Linked DNA regions of Oryctolagus cuniculus. The protein of the gene in region 1 interacts with the protein of each later gene in a pairwise test. Links are inferred from orthologs where the notes say so. Each region holds a gene or a part of one and is shown on either strand. Other genes may lie near its edges.

What was found.
Region 2: the proteins of KIFBP (region 1) and DOK2 interact in a two-hybrid assay, tested with the Homo sapiens proteins (2 studies listed by BioGRID and IntAct). The two-hybrid records come from large-scale screens. The link is inferred for Oryctolagus cuniculus from reciprocal best matches to the Homo sapiens genes KIFBP and DOK2.

The regions. Positions count from the first base shown.
Region 1 is NC_091446.1:60,775,411-60,779,939, forward strand, and holds the start of KIFBP (KIF-binding protein), read left to right. Parts: upstream 1-1,442; 5' UTR 1,443-1,538; coding exon 1,539-1,964; intron 1,965-4,529. UniProt on the Homo sapiens protein: Activator of KIF1B plus-end-directed microtubule motor activity. Required for organization of axonal microtubules, and axonal outgrowth and maintenance during peripheral and central nervous system development.
Region 2 is NC_091439.1:1,379,069-1,383,536, reverse strand, and holds the start of DOK2 (docking protein 2), read right to left. Parts: upstream 2,830-4,468; 5' UTR 2,629-2,829; coding exon 2,566-2,628; intron 1,636-2,565; coding exon 1,354-1,635; intron 1,136-1,353; coding exon 1,057-1,135; intron 238-1,056; coding exon 53-237; intron 1-52. UniProt on the Homo sapiens protein: DOK proteins are enzymatically inert adaptor or scaffolding proteins. They provide a docking platform for the assembly of multimolecular signaling complexes. DOK2 may modulate the cellular proliferation induced by IL-4, as well as IL-2 and IL-3.

The DNA.
Region 1 (4,529 bases):
CCCAAGGACTTGGGCCATTTTCTACTGCTATCCCAGGACATAGCAGAGAGCTGGATTGGAAGTGGAGCAGCCGGGACTAGAACCGGTGCCCATATGGGATGCTGGTGCTTCAGGCCAGGGCATTAACCCACTGCACCACAGCGCCAGCCCCAAATTGGTACGTTTTTAAAAATACCTATCTCGCCGGTGCCGCGGCTCACTAGGCTAATCCTCCGCCTTGCGGCGCCAGCACACCGGGTTCTAGTCCCGGTCGTGGCACCAGATTCTGTCCCGGTTGCCCCTTTTCCAGGCCAGCTCTCTGCTGTGGCCAGGGAGTGCAGTGGAGGATGGCCCAAGTGCTTGGACCCTGCACCCCAAGGGAGACCAGGAGAAACACCTGGCTCCTGCCTTCGGATCAGCGCGGTGCACCGGTCGCAGCGGCCATTGGAGGGTGCACCAACGGCAAAACGAAGACCTTTCTCTCTGTTTCTCTCTCTCACTGTCCACTCTGCCTGTCAAATAAATAAATAAATAAATAAAATAAAAATAATTAAAAAAATAAAAATACCTATCTCAAGGCACTTCATGTGGCTAGAGCTTGGTAAAAGTCTCCCTTTCCCACTTGGTTACTTCAGTGGTAACCGGTCTTCCAGCCTGTTACCTCGGGCAGTTCACCTCTGTATTCCAGGCTCAGTGAAATAGGTACCTACCGGTGAGTGCTCCTATCCATAACTTTCCATCAAGAATTCATGTCCTAGTAAGCGATCCCTGTTAGAGAGCAGAGCCTTTTCCAAAGAAACTTAACCAGCGATGGGTGGGGTATACCTTAATCTCAAAGGTCGGTTGCCTTCCAGTTTACATCCATTAGCTATTTTCCTTCTTTTTTAAAATTTTTTTTATTTATTTTTTATTTGAAAGGCAGAGTTACAGAGAGAGCAAGAGACTGACAAATCTTCCATCGGCTTGGTTCATTCTCCAAATGGCTGCAATGGCCAGGGCTGGTCCAGGAGGGAGCTAGGAGCTTCATCCAGGTCTCCCACTCGTGGAGGCAGCTTCTTCCACTGCTTTTCCAGGCACATTAGGAGGGAGCTTGACTGAAGTGGAGCAGCCGGGACTCGAACCGGTGATCATACAGGATGCCGGGGGTACAGGCGGGGGCCTAACCCGCTACGCTACAATGCCGGCCCTGATATTTTTGTAAACTATATTCCAAAACGTTTCGGTAAAGTAAGCGGATATTAAACATTTTAATATGCACTATACATACACACACTTCACAGGGTGAACTAACAGGAGACGACACCACGACGTAGTGGGGCGGGGCTGGAGGCGGGGACACCCTCGGGGACCTATTTTCTAGACAGCAGTTGCCATGGCGACCACCTCGCCTTCCCATTGGTCACTGCCGAACCTATTGCGGTTCCCCAAGCGGACTTTAATTGGCTGCCGATCTGCCGCAGCCCGACCTGTCGAGAGCCGTAAGTGAAGTGTCGCAAAGCAGAAGGAAGGCGGGAGTCCCGACTGCAAACACTGAGAAAGCCCCGGCTGTAGGGGCCGCTATGGCGAGTGCGCAGTGGGCCGAGGTCCGAGAGAAATTCCAGGCGGCGCTGGCCCTGTCGCGAGTGGAACTGCATAAAAACCCGGAGAAGGAACCGTACAAGTCCAAATACAGCGCCAGAGCGCTGCTGGAAGAGGTCAAGGCGCTGCTCGGCCCCGCGCCCGACGACGAGGATGAGCGGCTGCAGGCCGACGAGGGCTTGGGCGCTGGGGACCACGCCCTGGGGCTGCCCACGGAGGTGGTGGAGGCCGAAGGGCCCGTCGCCCAGCGGGCGGTCAGGCTGGCGGTTATAGAGTTCCACCTCGGGGTGAACCACATCGACACCGAGGAGCTGTCGGCGGGCGAGGAGCACCTGGTGAAATGCCTGCGGCTGCTGCGCAGGTACCGGCTCTCGCACGGCTGCATCTCCCTCTACATCCAGGCGCAGGTGAGAGCGAGCCCGGCCGGCCGCCGTGCAGCCCCCAGAGCCGGCCCCGGGCCGTGCGAGGCGAGGGCGTGGAGAGGAGCCCCCGCTCCGGGCCGTGTTAGATATGGCACGACTTCTGCTCGTGTGTTTGAAGCGGTGGGAAAGGCCAGCCTTAGGACTTGGAGCCGTGTAACCGCATCCCCCTGCGCTGGCTTCCATACTCCCTCTCCATGCCTCGCTTGCCCACGGGCAGCACGCTGGTTTCCGGGGCCCTCCTGCGTGTCATGTGCCCGCCGGCTCTCCGCTGTCCAGAGACTGGTCATTCTGTTAAAATCCAGACTAATGTAAATCTTAACTTAAGGTGTCGTGGAAATGACAGTGACCGTAAAACATTAATAATTCAAAACAAAATGTCTGAAGTCTTCAGTTTCCGTTGCTACATTGGTTCGCCCCCCCGGGGGATTCCTGCCCATTCAAAACCATCCCAAGAATCACCTCATTTCAGTAACTTTCTTTGGATCATTTTGGTTCAGACTGATCTCTTTACCACCTTTGAATACTTACAATATTCCCGTTTTTATGGTGCTTGATAAGAAATAAACCAACATTCTGCATTGGGAACAAAACTCTTGAAAATACAAGGATGCATGAGCTTCCTGTGTGTGCCAGGATGTTTGCTTACTCTCACAGCCAGTAGTTCCAGGACCCAGTGTAGGTGATTGAGGGAATATTACCAAAGTGGATTTGATGGCAAGTAGGTCTCAAAGACAAACCTCAAAATTAAGAGACAACTCATACTGGATCATATTCTTTTGTCATGGTCCAGCAATTTGAAAGCCACACAGTAACAGAGACTACCTTTTCTTAAACTCACCCCAGTAGGTGGCACATAGTGTGCAGATTCTAAATATCTCTTGAGTGGATGAGGAACTATTGAAATTTGTAATATGTTAAATTCAAACTAAACTTCAGTTATCTGAAGTTTTCCTTAACCATATAACCTCAGATTTTTTTTTTTTTTTTTTTTTTTTTTTGGACAGGCAGAGTGGACCGTGAGAGAGAGAGAGAGAGAGAAAGGTCTTCCTTTTGCTGTTGGTTCACCCTCCAATGGCCACCGTGGCCAGCCTGCTGTGGCTGGCGCACCGCGCTGATCCGATGGCCGGAGCTAGGTGCTTCTCCTGGTCTCCCATGGGATGCAGGGCCCAAGGACTTGGGCCATCCTGCACTGCGCTCCCTGGCCACAGCAGAGAGCTGGCCTGGAAGAGGGGCAACCGGGACAGAATCCGGTGCCCTGACCGGGACTAGAACCTGGGGTGCCGGCGCCGCAAGGCGGAGGATTAGCCTAGTGAGCTGTGGCGCCGGCCATAACCTCAGATCTTAATGAGTACTTTAAAAATTATTTAAGGAGTGGTTGTTGTGGCGCAGCGGGTTACACCACTGCTTGCAGTGCCAGCATACTTGATTGAGGCATGGAGCCCTGATGTGGAGTCCTGGCTGCTCCACTTCCAATCCAGCTCCCTGCTAATGTGCTCCCTGGGAGACAGCAGGTATTCCTGCGTCAACATGGGGGACCCAGATGGGGCTCCTGGATCCTGGCTTTGGCCTAGCTCAGCCCTAGCTGTTGCAGCCATTTAGGGAGTGAACCAGTGATGAAAGATCTCTTTCTCTATTGTTATTCCATCTCTGTCACTTGGCCTTTCAAATAAATTAAATAAATCTTAAAAAATCTGTTAAAGGCCGATGCCGCTGTGGATCACTTGGTTAATCCTCCGCCTGCGGCACTGGCATCCCATATGGGCGCTGGTTCTAGTCCCGGCTGCTCCTCTTCCAGTCCAGCTCTCTGCTGTGGCCTGGGAGGGCAGTGGAGGATGGCCCAAATGCTTGGGCCCTGCACCCTCATGGGAGACCAGGAAGAAGCACCTGGCTCCTGGCTTCAGATCGGCGCAGCTCCAGTTGTGGCAGTCATTTGAGGAGTGAACCAACGGAAGGAAGACCTTGCTCTCTCTCTCTCTCTCTCTCACTGTCTGTAACTCTACCTGTCAAATAAAAAAAAATCTGTTAAAAAGAATAAGTAAATAATGTTGAACAGAGAACTGCCCAATCTCATTATATTATCAGTATGACCTACAGTGCTAACTACTGAGGACAGATCAAGTCACTTTTTCATAAAATTATTGAGTTGATATATTTTATGTTTCTGTGGAATGACCAAGTCACTTTTTTTTTTCTTAAGGATTTATTTTGTTTATTTGAAAGACAGGCTTACAGAGAGGCAGAGAGAGGGGAGGGAGTCTTCCAAACGCTGGTTCACTCCCCCAGATGGCTGCATGACAAGAGCTGTGCCAATCTGGAGCCAGGAGCTGCTTCTGCTGCAGACTGAGGCTTTAACCTGCTGCACCTCAGTGTCGGGGGGCCCCCCCAAGTCACTTTTAAACTGTAAGGTTTCTAAACCTTTTTTATTTCACATGCCCCCTTTGGCAGTCTGGAGAAGCTGGAATTTTATATAAATGAATATGATTTTATTTTTAAAATATATGTATAAAGATTTATTTATTTATTTTGGAAGTCAGTTACAGAAAGAGGGAA
Region 2 (4,468 bases), on another chromosome or scaffold:
GGTGCACTGGGCCCTCCTGATCCTCTCCAACCTGGCTCGCGCTTTCGCTCACCTTGTCCCGCCCGAACCGTCGCAGAAACCTGTAGGGCCAGTGGAACAGCGGTGTGCCGGGCTCCGAGCCGCCCCACAGCTCCAGGGCGTTCTCCCCGGCTCGCAGGATATAGGAGCCCCGGAGCCGGCACCTCTCGCTGGCTTCTGTGGGTCTCATGGTCACTGCAAACTCCTTGCAAGGGACCACTGGGGAGCAGAGAGGAGAGAAAAGTCGGGGGGGAGGGGCGCAGCCTCCAGGAAAAGCATGACAAATTCCTCCGGCGTGGGGGTGGGGAGCACCTGTCTGGATGGTGTAGGCTAAGCTGGCCTGAGCCGGGTCATCCGGCCAGGTACCTCCACCCCCACGCGTGCCCACCCACCCTGGGCACATCCACGCGATCCTGTGCTCACAAGCTTCCTGTTGGTGTTGCCAGGCCCACAGCCTGGGCTTCATCTCACCTCTCACCCACAAACCAGCTGGCTCCCCAACTCCCACTGTTAACAGCTTCAGGGGAAGCCCGACCCTGCCTCCACTGCCTATGCCTGCAGGTGCCCTGGGGGGCGGGGGAGCTTAGGTGGACAGGGGACTCTGTGTCCACCGGCCATGCTTGTACAAGCACGCACACGCACGCACACACAGCCCAGAGGACAAGAGCCGGTGACAGTGGCACCTGCCTTGTCACCCAAAAGCTCCCAGCCACCTGAGACTTGCACAGGCAAACACAGAAAAGTTCTCTCTCTCTCTCTCTCTCTGTTCTCCCCTCCCCCAGACAATCGCTGGGGTCCCAGCACAGAGGACTTAAGAGCAGCAACCTCACGTGGGGCCCCTCAGCCTGAACAAGAGGGGGTGAACCAGCAGTGGTACTCAGGGAGGCGCCCCCCCCCCCCGCCTTAGGCAGCACCGGAAGCAAGGGGGAAAGGCTGATAAGGCGACTGGCCCAGGTTGGGGACAACCACGAGACAGGAAGACTCGGGGACCGGCAGGGGCCCCTCACCTCCTCCCACCCACACCCCAGGGAGCCTCACCTGTGGCCCGGCTGTACAGCTCGTTGATCTCCATGTGGGGCTGGCCACTCTTCCCCTCGGGCGCCTGCAGCTCCTTCCTCTGCCCCAAGGGGAGGAGGCCGGGGTCTCAGCACCTCTGCTGCCCTCCAGGCTGTCCTCCAACCCCTGAGCCCCTCGTGCACTCTCTGGACCCCCTCGTGCACTCTCTGGACCGGGCTGCCAACTCCAACACCCTGACCTGGACGTTCTAACACCTGCTCACCAGAAGTGGCCAGGGCCCCCCCCACCGCCCACCCCCACCCCTTCTGAACGACTCACGGGGAAAGCCAGCAGACAGATGGCCTGCAGCCAGTCACTGCGCTCTGCCGTGGGGGCTGCCAGGAGGTACAGGCGCTCCTTGGTCTCCAGGAGGAAGGCGCTGGTGTCCCGGGGGCTGCTGGCCTCGGAGCCGGCCTCGGCCACCCGCAGGCAGTCACTGAGGCGGATGACCCTCCGGCCAGCATCTCCCCGACGTGTCTTCTCTGGGCCCTCCTGGAGCTCCAGGCGGGCCAAGGCGCAGCCCGACTCCGCGTACAGCACGGCCCCGAACCGGCGCCATTTCTGAACCCAGATGCGTGGGAGAGGGAGCACCGGGAGGGAGCCACCCAGAGAGAGAGAGAGAGAGAGAGAGAGAGAGAGAGAGAGCTTGTGACCACAGGGAAGGGGGGCTTGCACGGGAGATGGGGACGGATAGGGAGGCAGAGAGGGTAACTGGGCCCACGGAGTGCGAGGACAGGAGATGGGCCAGAAGCAACAGAGAGGCTGCTGAAGGCAGCAGGAGGCACAGCAGTGAGCTGCAGGGGGAGCAGGCTGCAAGCAGCAGGAAGCCCGCCCTGCAGGTGCTGGTCTAGGGAAGAGCACCAGTGAGCTCCAGAGGTAGAGGAGGGGTTGGGGGGAGCGCCAGGGGCCTGCCCTGGACATGTTCACAAGAGAGGGCCTGTCTCCAGAAACTTCTCTCCGGGCCCCCTGAAGTTTTCTGCTTGACAGGTAGGGCGTTGGGGGGAGTGGAGGGAAAGGGGAGAGAAACAGAGACTGACTGGGTGGGTCCGCTGGGGACAAGACTTCCTCATTCAAGGAGGCCAGGAGAGGAGGAGGAGGTTGGACGCCCTGAGGCTGCAGCTCCCAGAGGCCCCTGACCTGCTTAATGCCAGCCAGACACTCCCCCCTCCACAAGGTGGGGAAAGTGAGGGAGACCCTCCAGCATCGTCCCGGATTGCCCCCCACCCCATGCCTTCCATCCCTGTCCAAGCTGCCCCAGGAGAGGAAGTCGAGAGAGAGCACAAGAACGCAGGAGCTAAGTCAGCACCCTCCTTCCTCTCCACCCCCGCCTGCGCCACGGGGCCTGGCTTGGGAGGCAAGCATGGTAAGGAAAGAGCCTGCCTGAGCTGGAACGCCGGCATAGTCCCCACAGAGGGATTGGGAGCCTGGAGCTCCCTCCAGCCCCTGCACCCAGCCCCTGTGCCCAGCCCCTGCGCCCAGCCCGGCTCCCACCTTCGCAAACGCTTGGTGCTGCTGCAGGTACAAGCAGCCCTGCTTCACAGCCACGGCCTCCATCGTCTCACCATCTCGGGCCCCTGGCGTCCACTCCCTCCTTCCACTCCGCCCTCTGCCTCTCCCCTCTCTTCTCAGCCTGTGTTCCCCCTTCTCGCAAGTTCAAGTTCATTTCCTCTCTGCCTAGGGTTTTCTGCACTGTTCTAGCCTGCTCGCTGACGACAGGCCGATAGGCTTGTGGTTTCTTGCTCTGCGTGCGTGTGTGTGTGTGTGTGTGTGTGTGTTTGGTTTCTGATGAGTGAGCTTCACACTCAAGCTTCCTGCATTTCCAGCCACTAAGAAATAATGCCCCCAAAAAGCCAAATTCCAGCTCCTCCAAGAGCAGCAACTCAGGGACACGGGACGGCATGGGGAGTCACCAGAGAGAGCGGCTGCCACCCAAGAACAGTGAGGCCCAGAAACCCGGTCCGCGAGTCAGACTCAGAGCAGCAGGCCCCAGGCCCCAGGCCCCAGGCCCCGGCTGGCTGCTGCTGAGCACCCCCGAGCTGGAAGAGGCCTTAGAAAGCAATGGGCCCAAATCACTTAGAAACGAGGAAACCCAGGCTCACAGCAGGGTCTCAGCACTTGCTCAAGGTCGTCAAGCTGGAAGCCAGGTCTCTCAACTGGCTGAGGGCTGCAGCACACTCAGCACTGCACACACACACACCTTCCCACTCCGTGGGAACACTGCCTCACCCTGCCCACCGCCCGCCCACACAGTCTGGAACCAGGGACATCCCCTCTGGAGCCAGCACTGACCACCAGCAAGTGCATCTCAGCTGTTGGATCTCACCTTTTTTCCAGGCTTTGGGAGCATCAGGAAGTCACAGGGCTCATCTGGAAGGGATTAAAAAAAAGATTTATTATTTATTTGAAAGGTAGAGTTACACACGGTGGGAGAGAGAGAGAGAGGGAGAGAGAGAGAGAGAGAGAGAGAGAGAGAGAGAGAGAGAGAGAATCTTCCATCTGCTGGCTCACTCCCCAAATGGCCTCAACAGCCAAGGCTGAGTCAGGTTGAAACCAGGAGCCAGGAGCCTCATCTGGGTCTCCCACGTGGGTGCAGGGGCCCAGGCACTTGGGCCATCTTCTACTGCTTCCCCAGGCCATAGCAGGGAGCTGGAAGGAAAGTGGAGCAGCCGGGACTTGAACACCATATGGGATGATGGCATCACAGGCAGTGGCTTAACCTGCACCACAACAGGGGGTCCTGCAAGCGTGATCTACGTAGCAACAACTTCAATATAGATATTTTGTTTGTTTGTTTTTTTGTTTGTTTTTTTTGACAGGCAGAGTGGACAGAGAGAGAGAGAGAGACAGAGAGAAAGGTCTTCCTTTGCTGTTGGTTCACCCTCCAATGGCCGCCGTGGCCGGCGCACCACGCTGATCCGAAACCAGGAGCCAGGTGCTTATCCTGGTCTCCCATGGGGTGCAGGGCCCAAGCACTTGGGCCATCCTCCACTGCACTCCTGGGCCACAGCAGAGAGCTGGCCTGGAAGAGGGGCAACCGGGACAGAATCCGGCACCCCGACCGGGACTAGAACCTGGTGTGCCGGCGCCGCAAGGCGGAGGATTAGCCTATTGAGCCACGGCACCGGCCCAATATAGATATTTTTAAAAGTTTTATTTATCTTATTGGAGAGGCAAAGAGAGAAGCAGGGACAATGAGCTCTCATCTGCTAGTAAAACAGCCAGGACGGAGCCAGGCTGGCGTTATGAACGGGGAACTCAATCCAGGTCTCCCGTGTGGGTAGCAGGGACCTGAGCAACCACTGAGCCGTCACTCCTGCTTGCCCGGGGAAGCAGGAACAGAAAGCTGGAATCAGAAGCAGGGCTGGGGCTTGAACCCGAGCACCCTGGAGTGACA